2 linked regions of the Kluyveromyces lactis genome follow. The protein of the gene in region 1 interacts with the protein of each later gene in a pairwise test. Links are inferred from orthologs where the notes say so. Each region holds a gene or a part of one and is shown in the gene's direction. Other genes may lie near its edges. The genes, in order: SPR3 and KAR5.

Region 1 (8,087 bases):
CAGACATTTACTTTCTTGGAGAGACGTTGATGAAGAAGGTTCTGTCCTAGATGCTGTCACTTTAAAGCCTTTAAACGATCCAGAAAAGAGTTATACATTAGCCATAACCGGTGATATTTTCCGTATTCTCTTCAGAAATGATGAAATTTTGCCAGATGATTATATCAGCACAGTTTTAATGAAGGGTTCAATTTACGCCAGAATGTCTCCAGATGAGAAGCACGAATTAGTGGAACAATTACAAAAATTAGATTACAACGTTGGTTTCTGTGGCGATGGAGCTAACGATTGTGGGGCTTTAAAAGCAGCCAATATTGGTATTTCTTTATCAGAAGCGGAAGCATCAGTTGCTGCTCCATTTACTTCGGCTGTTTTTGATATCAGTTGCGTTCTGGACGTCATAAAGGAAGGTAGAGCATCATTGGTGACCTCCTTCTCCTGTTTCCAATATATGAGTTTGTACTCAGCAATTCAATTCATTACCATTACCATCTTATACAGCAGAGGATCAAACCTAGGAGATTTCCAATTTTTATACATTGACTTATTGTTAATCGTTCCAATAGCTATTTCAATGTCATGGTCCAAGCCGAATAGCAAATTAGTGAAGAAAAGGCCTAGCGCTAATCTTGTTTCACCAAAGATATTGGTACCCCTTTGTCTGAACATCACTCTTATATTGATATTCCAATTACTACCATGGATTGCAGTTCAATACACCTCTTGGTATATGAAACCAGTTGTCGGTGGAGATGACGCCGTGCAATCCAGTGACAATACTGTTCTATTCTTCGTCTCTAATTTCCAGTACATTCTTACTGCAGTGGTTTTATCCCAAGGTCCTCCATACCGTGAACCTATGATTAAGAACATCGGGTTCATTTTGGACATTTCTCTTTCTATGTTAGTTAGTTTTGGATTGATGTATTTGAATGTGCAAACCTGGTTAGGAGAATTGCTCCAGTTAACAAACATATCTGATACTTTCAAATGGTTAATCCTGACAACGGCTGCAGCTAATTACTACGCATCAAAATATATCCCCGAAAAGTTCAAACATTTGTTCAAGAAGAAACAAAGTAGCAAGAAATACAAGAACATTGACAGGAAGCAGCAACAGCTAAACTTTGTATAGATTGAAATATTTACTGTGTATACGGAAATGCTTCTACCTGTATCTTTCTTCGGTATTGTTTGTCTCACTAAATTACAAGGAGTTTGAAGAATTTCTCATTGAAAGGAAACAGTTCCATAGAACGCCAACCGATGAACTGAAGGGAACCTGTAGGTGTTTAGGGACCATTAAAAAATTGATGAACTGAACCAGCGGCCAAACAAGATAATTGCATCCCAACGTAGTAATGTATATGTTTCTGATTTTAATTTGGAAAGATTCTGCATCACCATGTTCCATAATATAGTTTGAATACATGAAGAAACAGTATAAAGAAATTGGAGAATAAACCAATTGATCTGATAGCACTCTTTCCAGGACTTGAACCACCGTTGGATCCTCGGTATAAAAATAATTTAAGAATTTGTACCACGGTACTTGAAAGAATGATAGGAACCAGCCCCAGGACATAAAACAGATCCATCTGTAAAAGCTGAAAAGCTCATTGTTAGACGACGATGTACCATCAGCATCGTAATCCAAGTTTGAGTCAAGATCCCAGTCATGACGAAGCTCTGAATCAATGCCAGGACTAGCATTGCGAGTATCCGTTTGACCCTCGAAAGAAGGTCTCTCGACACCATAGTCGTTGAATATCGAGACGTTGTCACTATAATTATCATCAAAGGATTCCGTGCGACGGAACGAGAGTCCTGCAACTAAATTCCTAGTTACCTTATCGACAACTTCAGGTACCGGGTCTACTTTGTATGATAAGAAACATGAAATGCATTGTGCCAAGCAATCTGAAGTTCCGAACAAGAGTACATTGGTGCACATGGTGGCTAACAATGCAGAAGACTGGTATAAAGACCCGTAAACAGATGTGAAGTGCAGTAGAAGAACAATCCAAGTAGACAAAATGGACCAATGTATAATCGTAATCTTCAATATTTTGAATCGTCGTAAGCTATAAATTAGGTTCAGTGTTATAGTTTTCCATTGTTCGATCTTATTGGTAAGGCTGTCTCTTAGTCCGGACTCAAAAGAGGCAAACCCTGATTCCTCAGGTAATGATAATGGCATGGGAAAATCGGAAATGACAGAAGTTTAGTGTGATGATATTGTATTACCAGAAGAGTGTACACTTAAGAATCCCTTTGTAAGGTATATATATCAAAGCGGAACAAAGTGCCATACGATGCTGTCCTTAATTCATATAAAGAGATATCAACCTAAAATGAGACAGAATAACACACACGTGACATACAAATACGAGGGACTGGCCAATTGCAAAACACCTGGACATCCAAAAACAAAACGCCACTTTTCGGAACACCCATACATTTAGAAAGATATTAAAGTTATCAAATGGGGAAATTGTAATCTCACCATTAGAGAAACCGAACCCAAGCAAATGTCAGGTCTCCTCACAGAGTATATCGTACAAGCTGACGTTAGGAATCACTCACTTACAAATAGCCGTAGAGATGGGAAAGTACCTCATCGATTCACTGCTAACTGTCTAACAATCTGAAATCCATAATGTACTGCAAGCTACAGACTTAGTTACGTTAACGATCAGTTCAATTTTTTTTTTTTTTTTTTTTGATTTTGTCGATGTTTGAAAAGTTTCAATGAATTATAGAGGAATTACAACTTACATTTGGTTATTGACAGTTAGTTTTATAATTGGTATTAGCATTTGTACAATTTAGTTCTTACTTATTGTTTTATAATTTATGTTATGTGTTTTGTAACCTGTTTCAGAGAAAAGTAAGTTCAATCAAGTAAGCAACAGCAGAACAAAATGTTAATTCCAAAGGAAGACAGAAAGAAGATCTACCAACACTTGTTCCAAGAAGGTGTCTTGGTTGCCAAGAAGGACTTCAACCAACCAAAGCATGAAGAAATTGACACCAAGAACTTGTTTGTCATCAAGGCTTTGCAATCTTTGACTTCCAAGGGTTTTGTCAAGACTCAATTCTCATGGCAATACTACTACTACACCTTGACTGAAGAAGGTGTAGTTTACTTGAGAGAGTACTTGAACTTGCCAGAACACATCTTCCCAGCTACTTACTTGGCTGGTCAATCTGGTGACCAAAGACCACAAGGTAAGAAGTACTAAATTGACTGAGACATGGCCTGACTTTGTGTGATGGGGAAGTTGTGTTTTACCCGTATTTTCTCATCATACTGTCAGTAAAACGTTGTTAATGTCAACTGTTTGGATTCGTATTAATTTACAATAAAGTCGTACAAGTGAGCAAGATGTGGAACCTCAGTTGTTATTCATTTCCTGAGGAAATGAATATCCTTGGATTCCTTTTTCTTAAATTTACTCAAACATAGTTGTCGGTTCTTTATTCAATATTCAAATGGGTTAACACGTTATTATCGCACATGATATCATTTTTATTTTCCAATATTATTATTACTATAAATCACATACTTATAAATGTGAGGAGTAGTATCCTTTTGTCATTTTACTATTTTTCTTGGGTCTATTGCAGTGTCGTTACATTGCTCCAAAAAACTTCACATAATCCATACTCTCACGTAACTGTATATTGTCTTTTATAGTCTCATAAAGCAACATATAGCTGGTGTTTTTTTTCAAGCCTGTACAGAAGCTATTTTTGGTTCCTCTCTCTGCTGCCGATCGTTTTGTATATTTTCATCGTCAGGGTTTTCGACATTCTTTCATTCAGTAGTTATCTCGGAAATTAAAAATAAATCCAAACATAAACTTTCAACAACACACTTAGCAAACAAGAGCTGTTAGAATGAAATATATCCCGTTTGATTTCTCGTGAATGGATAACAGTAGCACTGATAGATCTTAGCATTAATTAGAGTGATAAAACCCGAGTCATATACTAATTTGAAGCTGAATGTTGTGAATTTTTGTTCAATATAGTAGCATTCTGATTTATCACCCTATCATGGCTCCAAACAAAATAAATTACTCCGGAGGAGATGAATTACCAGTATGTATCGATTGAAGTACTTATAAGGTTAATGAGGGTAAGAGCTCCCCATCCCCCCCCCCCCCCCCCCCCCGATAATAATGTCATTGTCACTAACTTTCCATTCCTAAACACTTAATAATTACAGTTGTACGCGACCCCAGAAGAAGCGATGAAAGAGGGTAAAAGGAGAGAAGAGGTAGAGAGAAGACGCCGGCAGATGAAATATGGTATCAATCCAAAGCTGCAACAACAGCCAGTACCTGTGAACCCATCCATTCACCATGCACCTTCGTCATACTCACTGGATTCAAGTTATCAAAAACAATCACAACTGCCACAGCAGAGAACCATGATGTCTGGTTACGAACACGGAGCAGGACCTGGGCTACAAAGATCTCAACCAAGGGTACCGAGCTATGAACAGCCACCTGCACCTTCCAGGGTGATGGCTCAAATGCCTGCCCATAATGGTAGTTCCGCCAGTATGTCAACTTATGCTCCACCACAACAGGTTTACTATCAAAGTCAAACTGCAGGTCATCCAGTAGCAACAGTACCGCATTCTTCACCACAAAATATCTCAATAAGGGCCCCAAACCCTCCACCACCACGCTCTATGCAGTCTTCATCGGCACCTCAAGTACAGTATCGCAAAAATCAGCCACTGGCCGCATCTAGCGCAGGTTCTATAGCATCACAAGAGTCCCAACAAGAACAACAAGATAACTTAATCGCAACCGAGCTTTTCAACAACCATGACTTGAAAAACATGGGCAGACTCACGGCAGACGAACTGCATAATTTGTTACAGAATGATGATGGGTCGAAATTTTGTACAAGTTCAATTGAATCACTAATAAACTTGTTTGGTGGCTCTAGATTTGGTACTGTCAACTTAAATGAATTCATTTCGTTATACAAGAGAGTTAAAAAATGGAGAAAATGTTTTGTAGATAACGATATCAACGGCTCATTTACGCTAACGATGGCTGAGTTTCATAAAGCTGTCCAATCGTTGGGATATCTAATTCCTTTTGAAGTTAGTGAGAAATTGTTTGAATGCTATGCGGAATACTTTGACCAGCAAAGGCTAAACAAAGAAATGAAGTTTGATAGATTTGTTGAAACGTTAGTATGGTTAATGCGACTAACCAAAGTTTTCCGTAAGTATGACTTGCAACAAGAAGGGACTGCAACCATTGCATACAAAGATTTCATAGATCTAACTTTGTACTTAGGCAAATTCTTGCCACATTAATTCTAAAAAATGTACTATATGGTGAAGCAGATTCACCAGGAACCGTAATTCCTATCGAATAACAAATATTCTATTAATCTTTAATTATTCTACACTTTCATTATCCAGCTGAAGAAGATCGCGACACTTAGCTTGTTCCCTCGTTCGAAGCTAAAAAAAAACTACATCCTCAGACTAGAGCGATGAGCAGAGTCACTTCGAGCAACAAGAAAAAATCACTGGCATATGAAATATCTGTAGTGACATAAAGTACTAATTTTTCTATTTCAATACTTTTTTGATTTTTGTGTCCAGCGACAGAAAAAAATCTATAATAGTATAAGAGTAGTAAAACAAGGAACTGACCCCCCAGTGACTGGATTTATCGTGGAAGTGTTACATTTGTTGACGTTTACCAGGAGGCTTCGAACGGTAAAGCAATGAATTCAACTAAGAATGGCTGGGGTTCATCAATGGATCATTATATTGAAGCAACTGGTGTTGAATATGATTCCATTTCCTATGGACCAGCAAAATATGGTTCGAATGCAGATAACCTGGAAGTCATTAACGAGCAACCTGAAGAAGAATGTACTGAAGTGAAACCGCAGTCTCAAGAAAAAAAAGAGGTGCTCGATTCGGTTAGACGATTGTTCGAAGCTGATTCCACAGAATCTAACAGCGCTTTGAAGAGTCTAGATGTGGATATAAACGTTCAAGGTGACTTCTATACGCTAAATTCGGTCATGAATTCTTCTACAGCCAATACAACTCAAGAGAACTGCTCGAAGTTTATCACTCCGTCTGTTATTGATGAACACTATCACATTGGTATCGATTCTATTCCTCTACAAAAGGAAACTTTCATTGAAAAAAACGGTGTTCAATTCACCATGATGGTAGTAGGGCAATCTGGATTAGGTAAGACAACTTTCATCAATACCTTGTTCGGAACTTCACTTCTACCTACTGTATGGGAATCTGATATGACAGAAAGAGGAGTCACAAAGACAACGAAAATCGTTCGCCATGAGAGTGAGTTAGTTGAAAATGGGTTTACCTTGAGATATACTGTCATTGACACACCTGGATTTGGCGACCTTGCAAACAATAATTTTTCTTGGTCACCAATTGTAAATTACATTGATGAGCAATATAGATCTTATATCTTTCAAGAAGAGCAGCCATTGAGAGCTTCCCTTAAGGATAACCGTATTCACTGTTGCTTATATTTCATAAACTTGACCAGAAATGGCTTGAGTGCATTAGACATTGCGGCAATGGAAGAAATTTCTAAAAGGGTTAATTTGATCCCTGTTATCGCCAAAATTGATGGGTTAACCTCGGCTGACTTAGAAATGTATAAGAGGAAAATCAGAGAAACTCTTCAAAAGCAAGAGATAAAAGTTTGTTCTTTCTTGGATCAAAACCATCCCAACTGCCAAACAATATTCGATACGTATCCGTTCGGTATCGTTTGTTCCGATGAAATGGTAACAAATAACGAAGGGAAATTGGTACGTGGTAGAAAATACAAATGGGGAAATGTGGAAGTTGAGAATCCGCTACATTCCGAATTTACTGCTTTAAGAACAGTGTTAATGTCTAAAAATCTTGTTGATTTCGCTGTAGGATGTGAAAATTACTACGAAAAATGTCGTTCTCATATCTTATTATCAAGAATTCAACAGGCTAAGACCAACTGTCCAGATCATTTGGATTTGACTAACTTAGATCTTGATAATCCCGATCAGAATGGATTAGAAAACTATAAATTCTATGAAGCCTTCAACAAGAAATTTATGGATGATTTGATTATCGAATGGTCCCCTGAGTTTATCCATAAGCAATGGGAAGCAAAGAAACGGCTTAGCGAGATTGTGTCAATGGAAGAAAAAAGATTCAAGGATTGGAAACAGGATTTGCTAAACAAGCAAAATTTATTCAACCACGAGATCGAGGATCTTCATACAATAGTCCAACAGATTCGTTCCGAATGCAATGAATTGGAGACAAGGGTGAATAAACAGAGGCCCAGGAGATTTTCTAAACTTGGATTATCTTCACATTCTGAATTAGCTAGATGAAAGTCTTTTGCTTGAGAAAGGCACAGTTTATCCATTTCAGTGAAAATCGGAAGACATAAAAAAATAAATAAAGATATAGAATAGTATGCTCAATACGTCATTAACATAATAAATTTGATATTTTTTCTGATAATCAGTTCAGTTATCATCCTGCCGGAATAATTTGTTTCTATCTGCCCTAATGACATTATTTGAAGTGCTTGAACTGACGCATATCCGGGTAAAAATAAACAACAGAGGTTTAAAAAAATTTTGTATAAAAAATCCAAAACTGCCTACAGTTACATCTCTTTACTATCAACTAATCGTAATGGAAAGTAGGAAGTTAAAAAGACCAACAGAGGGTAAATATACTGGCTGACACTCAACATACATGAATGGCGAGGAAAGTGTTCTTCACGGTTGATGTGTGTAAGAGTTGTCTTCGGTTACTCTTCTTTTTCTTTATAGAAATATATGCGAAGATTATATGACTTGAGATTAGGCATTGGAAACCCTGTCTAGTCTCAATCACAAAGATTTCAATGATGACTACATCTAGGTACATTTCTGGCATCTCTAATGTTAGGGTGGGCGTTTAAGTACTTCTCACTCGATGAATAGAAACCTTTAACCATAATAACTGAAATGAAACAAATAATATAACCATTTGCATTTGAAATACGTAGAACTTG
Region 2 (7,822 bases), on another chromosome or scaffold:
GTCTTCTTCTGGTTGTAGGGTGTCCTGTTTTGTTTTAATTTCTACCGGTTCATTGTACAGTCTCTTCATATACCCTGTCAACTGTTCTCTGACTTTAATCACGTTTTTGAATCCACGCTGAGATACACATAACTGTTTACACCATTCTTGTTTCTCCGAATTGCTTTGTAATGATTGATACATGTCGAATAACTCTTTTAGCATGATTAGGTCACCGTGCTTACTGCCTAGGGTACATAATGCCCTTCTTCTTTCGTTGACCTCATCTCGTTCCTCAGGCAATGGGTTTAACACCAAGTTTTCAACACTCAGACATGATACTATATCTATGACGTATGGCAATACTTGAGTCTCTTGAGCATGAATCAAAACGTTACTTAGATGTGGTGCTAAAGGTAATAGCGCCATCTTGCGACCTCTATCAGTGACACGACCCTGTTCATTGAGAGCACCAAGTTCATATAATTCTTTTAGCCCCGAGATAATAGCTTCTTTCCCTGGATGTTCTAGCCACGACCAGTTTACAATATCTTGTACGCCGTACTGTTTCAACATCAAGATAGGGGACGTAATTTCACATCGAGTAATTTCGGACTCAGATTGTTTCGGCAGTTGTTTGTAATCAGCTTCTGTAAATAATCTAAAACATTTACCTGAACTTTCTCTGCCTGCACGACCGGCTCTTTGTGCTACACTAGCCTTTGAAACAGGAACAGTTAGTAACGTAGCTAGCCCCAACTGATGCCTCCAAACTTTCACCTTCCTTAATCCACAGTCTATCACATATTTAACTCCAGGAATGGTAACAGATGTTTCCGCAATGTTAGTCGCCAATACGATTTTTCTTTTGAATCCCTTTAAAGGTTCGAAGACTTTAGCTTGATCTTTTGGTGGTAATGCAGCATAAAGTGGGTATGCTGTGATGCGTGGTACAGATTCGTCTAAATATGGAATGATTTTGTTTAAAATGGCCACTGCTTTATCAATCTCTTCTTGCCCCGGTAAAAAACAGAGTATATCTCCTGTAGTTTCTGAACTGTTTAACTGAACTGAACAGCGTACCACACTATCCACTATATCTTCACAAGGTCTGGGTAGATAATATCTGTCTACTTTGAATTTGCGGCCTTCAACGAATAGTATAGGTGCGTTCGAAAAGAATTTGCTGAATAGATCTGCTTGTAATGTGGCAGACATTACTATTACTTTCAAATCTTTCCTTTTGGTCAGTTGAAGTTCCTTCAAAAAACCTAAAATCAAATCCGTCAATATAGTTCTCTCATGTGCTTCATCTATGATTATGCATTTATAATTGGATAGGTTCTTGTCCAGCATTAATTCTCTGATTAACATACCATCTGTCAAGTATTTCAATTTAGTTCTTGTCTTGTGACTTTTATTATCAAACCGAACAGAATAACCAACTTCGTGACCAATTCTACATCCGTGCTCTTGCGCCACCCGAGTTGCAAGATTGATTGCTGCAACTCTACGTGGTTGAGTAACAGCTATGGCCCCTTTGTGCATCGGAGAAATCTCATCCATCAAAAATTGGGGAATTTGTGTAGATTTACCAGAACCTGTTTCACCAATCAATATGGTAACTGGATTAGCTTTAATGTGAGACACGATCTTTTCCTTATTCTGGAATACTGGTAAACTCTCACGCCCTTTCAATAACCTCAGTGCCCTTGTCTTTAACTCTTTATTTGACACATGATCCAAGGCTTCGGAATCCGAATCCCCAGTATCTCCATCTTGATGGTCATCAAAAGTAACTACGGTCTTCTTCCCAGCGTGACGTTTTAACGGGTTTGCATTGGATTTCTTCTTTCCAATGGACTTCCCATTCTGCCGGTCTTGAACCGCTTTACTCTTCTTTCCCATCTGAGTGATAGGTCTATAGTTGAATCAAACTCGAGTGGGTCAACAAATAAGGAAGCTGTAGATCCTCACTGCTAGCTCCTTACAGCAAGTGGTTGGCAATAATAGCAATAATCTCAACTCAAGAAAGCTGAAAAGACCTTTGACAAAACCAAGCTTGTAATTTTCCATAGCTCATCGCATCTCATCTCTGGAAATAGCTACTATTTACGTTTCTGCTGAAAATTTTCTTAGCTCATCATCGATTCAATATTGCCAATGAAAAAAAAAACTGATATTGTTGATACATCTGGCATAAGATGATGGCTGACAAGAAGTCCTGAATGTATATCACACCTAACTCTCTTGCTTCACTTTCAAGCGTTACAGAGGAACTCTCATAATAAACGATTAGTCTATTATTCAATACTATACTGGAACGATATCCATTTATCAGCAGTGACAAATTCTCATCATTGCCTTAACATAGAGAAGGAATAACACCATCAAGAGAAAATTAGTTTATATATATATATATATAAACTAATGCTGTCTTCGGTGTAGTAAAAGAGTATCATATTCTTTGAACAGGGTGCTCTTTACTGGGCTGCGTCTCTTAATTGTAATTCCACGATGATTTGAACAGTGTTGAACTTGTATTTTCTCAAGCACCTTCGAAACTGAAAAAAAAAGCTTTATTTCAGCATGGTAGATAAACTCAACCTACAGCGTTAGACCTATAGGGGACCGTTCACCAATCACATCTGGGGAAAACTATATATTATCTGTGGCTACGACGTTAACCACTGCATCTACTATCTACATTTCACTCTCTCATCTTTTTTCCCGTGATATGAGTATACTTTCTAGAGCTGCTAATAAGTTGCAACCGGGCAAGACGCTACTGGTTCCAAAAAACAAATTCAAAGTAGCAGATGAAGAATGGGGACATCTACCTGAGTACGTGGTTCCAGCAGCTAACAAGATTGTACATCCATTCTACCAATATCCTAATGCTACCGAACGCACAGCTTTGTGCATCACTGAAAGGAATCCAAAACTTTTCAATGGGAAGCCGGTATTACCAGCATTTGTGAGACACCCAGTGACAAGTGAATCTACTCTAGTGGAATCCAGATTGAGTTTTGACACAGTTAAAGATGTATCAAAATGGGTTCAGAGAATACATAAATCCGGAGACCGTCTCTTTCATAAAGTCAACATTACTTCATCAGACTCCGGACCAAAAGTGAGAAAAACGAAACTGACCTCGGAGTCTCCATTTGTTAAACAATTAGACAACTTTTTGAACAGCCATCCACAGCTGTCATTCGAGACATTAGACAGTGAATTGAGCAAGCTATTCATATTCCATAAAGGTCAGGAAGTTATCTATTTGGAGGAGATTTTTTTGTACATATTGCAGAGAGACAACTTAACAGTTCCGCAATGGAAGGCCACCTTGAAAACTTTACCAAAATATGTTGGTAAGGAAATAGATGATATTGATATGCTCAACACATTATTGATTCAATGGGTTCTCTCGGGAGAACAGTTATTCACGAAAATTGATACACCAGCCCTTAACCTACTGTGGAACGTGATAAAGAGTAGCAGGGAATCTTTAAACCAAAATATAATAACTAATCTCAACAATGTTCAACTTGATAAGCTTTTTGATACATTCTTAAAGGGTAAGGATATCAAGGTGTCGCGGATTTTACTAGAAACTTTGGCATCTCGCCGTATTATGCCATCTCTACCGTCCATAGAAGAATACATTGAACTCGTCGGACAGGCTGGTCAGGAAACAGATGCAGGCATTGTTCCACTTGAAAGAAAATCAAAACTTTATCTTTTGCACGTACTTTCCCCGGTATTCGCCTCTAATTTAACATGCAGAATGACTGATCTCCTGTTACCATACTGTATTCACCAATCAGAGATATTTGCTTTGTTGGACTTAGCCCTCAAATCAAAATACTCTAAAGACATTGCAAAATCTTGTGTCAACAACTTCGTGCTTAGAATCGCACAGTTGAAGGACTCTCAAGTGGACAATAGTCTTAACATTTCTTCATTATATTATAGAATTAAGGCATACAATAATGGAACTGTACCGAATGCAAATCTTCTTGCTTTTATCATAGCATTACTCACTAACTCTAACTTTAGAGCAGTACAGACCATTATCAACGAACAACCTGTCAAAGAGATCACCAAAGTTATCGAAGTTGTCAAAAATCAAACCACCTTTATTGATCAGTTTGGATTTACTGGAGTTGATAGAGAGACGCTACTGCACTTTTTGAACAATAGAGCATAGTTTCCAACATTCAAAATGATAGATTGTTCAAACACATGTTATAGATTACTAAAACAATTTAAACCTTACTCCCGAATTACTGTAAATAGTGCTAATATAGTGACATTTTTTTTTGTTGATGTTTCACATCTGTTTCAGCTGCTTTCTGGTATTGATTCTTACGGTATAAAAGGAGATTTAGAAAATGGGTGAGGCAAAATCTTGTTAATGAATTACCAGATCACACCAAGCTTGGGATACTGTTCTAATCCATTCACGAGAAGCCATCATGTGGTTTCTTGTTTTCAGCATATGGATCGCTTCCGGTCAATTACTGCCACATATTTCTAACGTAATAGAAAAGGAGCTCGATCAACTAGAAATAACAGAGTTATCCCGTGAATACATCAATAATAAATTTCCCATCACTCAGTCAAGCTGTGTTAAAAATGCCTTGGGAGAGTTTCTCGAAATATGTATGAGGAAAGGTTTCGAATTTGTTGATGCAGATTTGAGAGTCATCACCGCAGTACGCTTATCAGTTTGTGAATTTGAGTCATCTGGGTTAACCAACTACCCAAGCGAATGTCATGAAAAACGATTAGGTGGGATAGATACTATAAGCTGCGTCAATGCTTTGGAGTCATCTCCGCAGTGGTGGACAACATACAGTGGAAACTATCAAAATCTTCCACATATTTGCATGGAGAATTCGTTACCGTTCGAAAAGGAACAGATCCTTGAGCTATTCTTGAATATTACTGACATGTACTCAGAATTTCAAAGAAATATAGAAAACTATTGGAAAAGTTTTAGTTCTGATCTAGAAATCAATGGTAAGGAGAATATTGACATGATCCAAAATTTATTCAATTCACTGGTCAATGATTTAATCCAAAATCACAAAATGAAGGACGAAGAATTAATCACTGAATTTGACAAGATGAAGGCAGAGTTTGATATCCGATTCTTTAATTTTACTGAATCATTTGACAATCTCAACGATGAGGTGAATGAAGATCTATCATTAATAAAATCTCACTTAATTGAAACTTTTCGGCAAGTCGACTCAGAATACATGGCACAACTTCAAAAGAACAAAAATTCCACAGACAAAGCCTTCAATGAATTAGAATCTATGTCGACTTATATCTTGGATCACCAGAAGACATCCATGGAACTTATTGACAGCTTTTTCTCAGATCTAATAGACCTAACCCGTGATAAAAATCTAGTAATTAGCGATGAGTTAATGCAGACACAAGAAGAAACTATACACCTCATATTTCAATACAATAAACTAGTGCATGAATCTGTTATACCATTATTGACTGACGATCTTTTACCTGTCGTCAGAGGTGTGTCAAATTCCATTGTTGAAAATTTAGACAACATGAATGTTGAACTTACAAGCCATTTGGAAAATGTATCACAAACCATCGAAGTAAAATTTAAGGCCTTAGAAAAGGAAACAGACAGATCTCTTTTAAAGGCAAAAGAGGTTGAATCAAATTTGCGAAACTTAAATAACCTTGTGAGTACATCCTTGAAGGGGTTACAAACTATTGTACGGTTATTAACGTTTTTGTTAAAACGGCAGGTCGTTTTGGTAGGGATCCTGCAGATCTTTTTAAGGAAATACATCTCGATGAATCTATACCTATACGCAATAGCAGTAGTTGTAACAGCATTAGCTGGATCTAAAGTGGGATCATGGGGCTCATTACTAATGAAAAGTTTTGTCACTCGATAGAAGGTATTATTTGCCAGAGCCATAAGTTTGAATGTTTTATTTTCGACATCGTACACATGTTACATAGTGAAAATACAAGAGGAGAATGCCAGCAAAACTCATCAAGAGTAGTCGCCGTAAAAAACAATTATTCGTTAAAAAGGTTTTGTTGTAGAGGTAGGGCCAGCCAATTCAATACTTGGAGTATACTACTCTATCGTCATCTTCTTCCTCCTCTTCGTCACGGTGCGGGAAATAAGTTGGGTCATTCAAATACTTTAGATCCTCTACCGGTCTTTCACCTTGTGGAGTAATTCTTACGTTGTGCCTGGTGACTGGATCTTCCCAGTCCACAGAAGCTGAATGTTGAAGTCTTCTGTTATCCCAGACAGCAACGGTACGGGGTCCCCATCTAGCACGCAATTGCAAATCGTGGGAGTTTTCAACCAAACTATACAAGAAGTCCAACAATAAATCGGATTCTGGTGTTTTCAATTCTACGATTCTTCTTGAGAAAGATCTATTAACAAACAATGATTTCTTTTTCAAAACTGGATGAACCCTAACCAATGGGTGAATGTGGGTAACTGGTGCTCTTCTTTGAATACCACCGTTACTCTTTGAATTGAACGCTTGCTCTTTTGAAGAGTGAATCACGTGCAATGTGCTCAAATACTCTTGGAAATGTGGCGACAGTCTTTCAAAAGCTTCAATCGTGTCTGCAAACAAAGTGTCACCACCAGATTCTGGACCTTCCAATTGAGCAAAGAAGGTATAACCAGCCGGTTGTAATTCATAAGAGACATCAGTATGGAAACCAATAGAAGTAGTTTTGTCTCTGAAAACTCTATTGAATTCAGTACGGTCAGGACGCCTGAAAGTCACATGCAAGTGCGAATGGCCTTCCGGAGCACCGGATGTTTGGTGGATGTGCAACTTCCCGAAATGTCTGCCGTATTCCTCAGCGTATCCAGGGCCCTTGTCGACAAAATCCTGATCTTCAAGAATGACAACACCTCTTTGAGCAATGAGCAAAGCCAATTCATCTTTGGCAGCGTCACTCAATTGAGTTAATTGTAAGCCCTTAATCTCGGTACCTAATTTTGGAGTAATTGGCTTTAAAGTGACCTTGCCATTCAACAAATTTGGGAAAGATGGATCGGCTCTTAGACCAGGGTCTTCAAACTTGTGGAATTCCAAAGGTGGATACTTTTCATTAGGATTCCAAGCCGGCAAAAAATCTGGATATGCCACCTTTTGTCTATAAGCCTTTGCAATCCTCAAAACACCATCCTTGCCAATCTCATCTTGACCAGCATAGAAGTGGGTGTCGTAATTACCGTCTGATCTTTTAGCGATATCAACAGGCATCTTTTAAAACTTTATTTTTTTGGAGGAGATCGTTACTTTGGACGTCAGTACTTTTTTCCTTGATGACTCTTTATCCCGAAACTACACGAATAAGAATACCTTGTAACTTAAGTGTCTTGTCAACAGGCAGGATGTCTGTTGAATTACAATTATTATGCTTTGTTTAATTTATTGACAATTGAGCATCAACTTCGAAATTAAACCTTTGCAAACTACCGTTGTGATTATGTGCAAACCTCTTCTTTATATAAGTTTGTTACCTTGACATCTTATTCCAGAATGCCTGAAACCGAATGGGTGTAAATGAGTAATTATGCTTAGTAAATTAGCAACACTTCACGATTCATATTATGAATTGCTAATTGACACCCAAGTCTTACTTGAAGACACCATTATGGTTCAATTACTATTGACACACCTCGTCGATGACTGCCTCAGCAAAATTACAATTCATGCCGGCAAAATGCTTATATCACGGGATATTTCAAACTTGAGATACTCGTCATGTAGCTGCATCTTATTACTAATGCAGCAATTACTTATTAGCCGTT

The links.
Region 2: the proteins of SPR3 (region 1) and KAR5 interact in a two-hybrid assay, tested with the Saccharomyces cerevisiae proteins (2 studies listed by BioGRID). The link is inferred for Kluyveromyces lactis from reciprocal best matches to the Saccharomyces cerevisiae genes SPR3 and KAR5.

Annotation. Positions count from the first base shown.
Region 1 is NC_006038.1:717,412-725,498, reverse strand, and holds SPR3 (septin SPR3), read left to right. Parts: upstream 1-5,766; coding exon 5,767-7,413; downstream 7,414-8,087. Other genes in the region: YPK9 (putative acid anhydride hydrolase), read left to right, coding at 1-1,135; KLLA0_B08195g (uncharacterized protein), read right to left, coding at 1,208-2,200; KLLA0_B08173g (40S ribosomal protein eS10), read left to right, coding at 2,925-3,245; PEF1 (Pef1p), read left to right, coding at 4,259-5,347. UniProt on the Saccharomyces cerevisiae protein: Septins are GTPases involved in cytokinesis that assemble into filaments and form a ring at the cleavage site. May act by recruiting MYO1 and HOF1, a protein involved in septation, to the site of cleavage.
Region 2 is NC_006042.1:2,422,425-2,430,246, reverse strand, and holds KAR5 (Kar5p), read left to right. Parts: upstream 1-4,457; coding exon 4,458-5,921; downstream 5,922-7,822. Other genes in the region: DHR2 (RNA helicase), read right to left, coding at 1-1,887; AEP1 (Aep1p), read left to right, coding at 2,717-4,189; JLP1 (sulfonate dioxygenase), read right to left, coding at 6,093-7,271.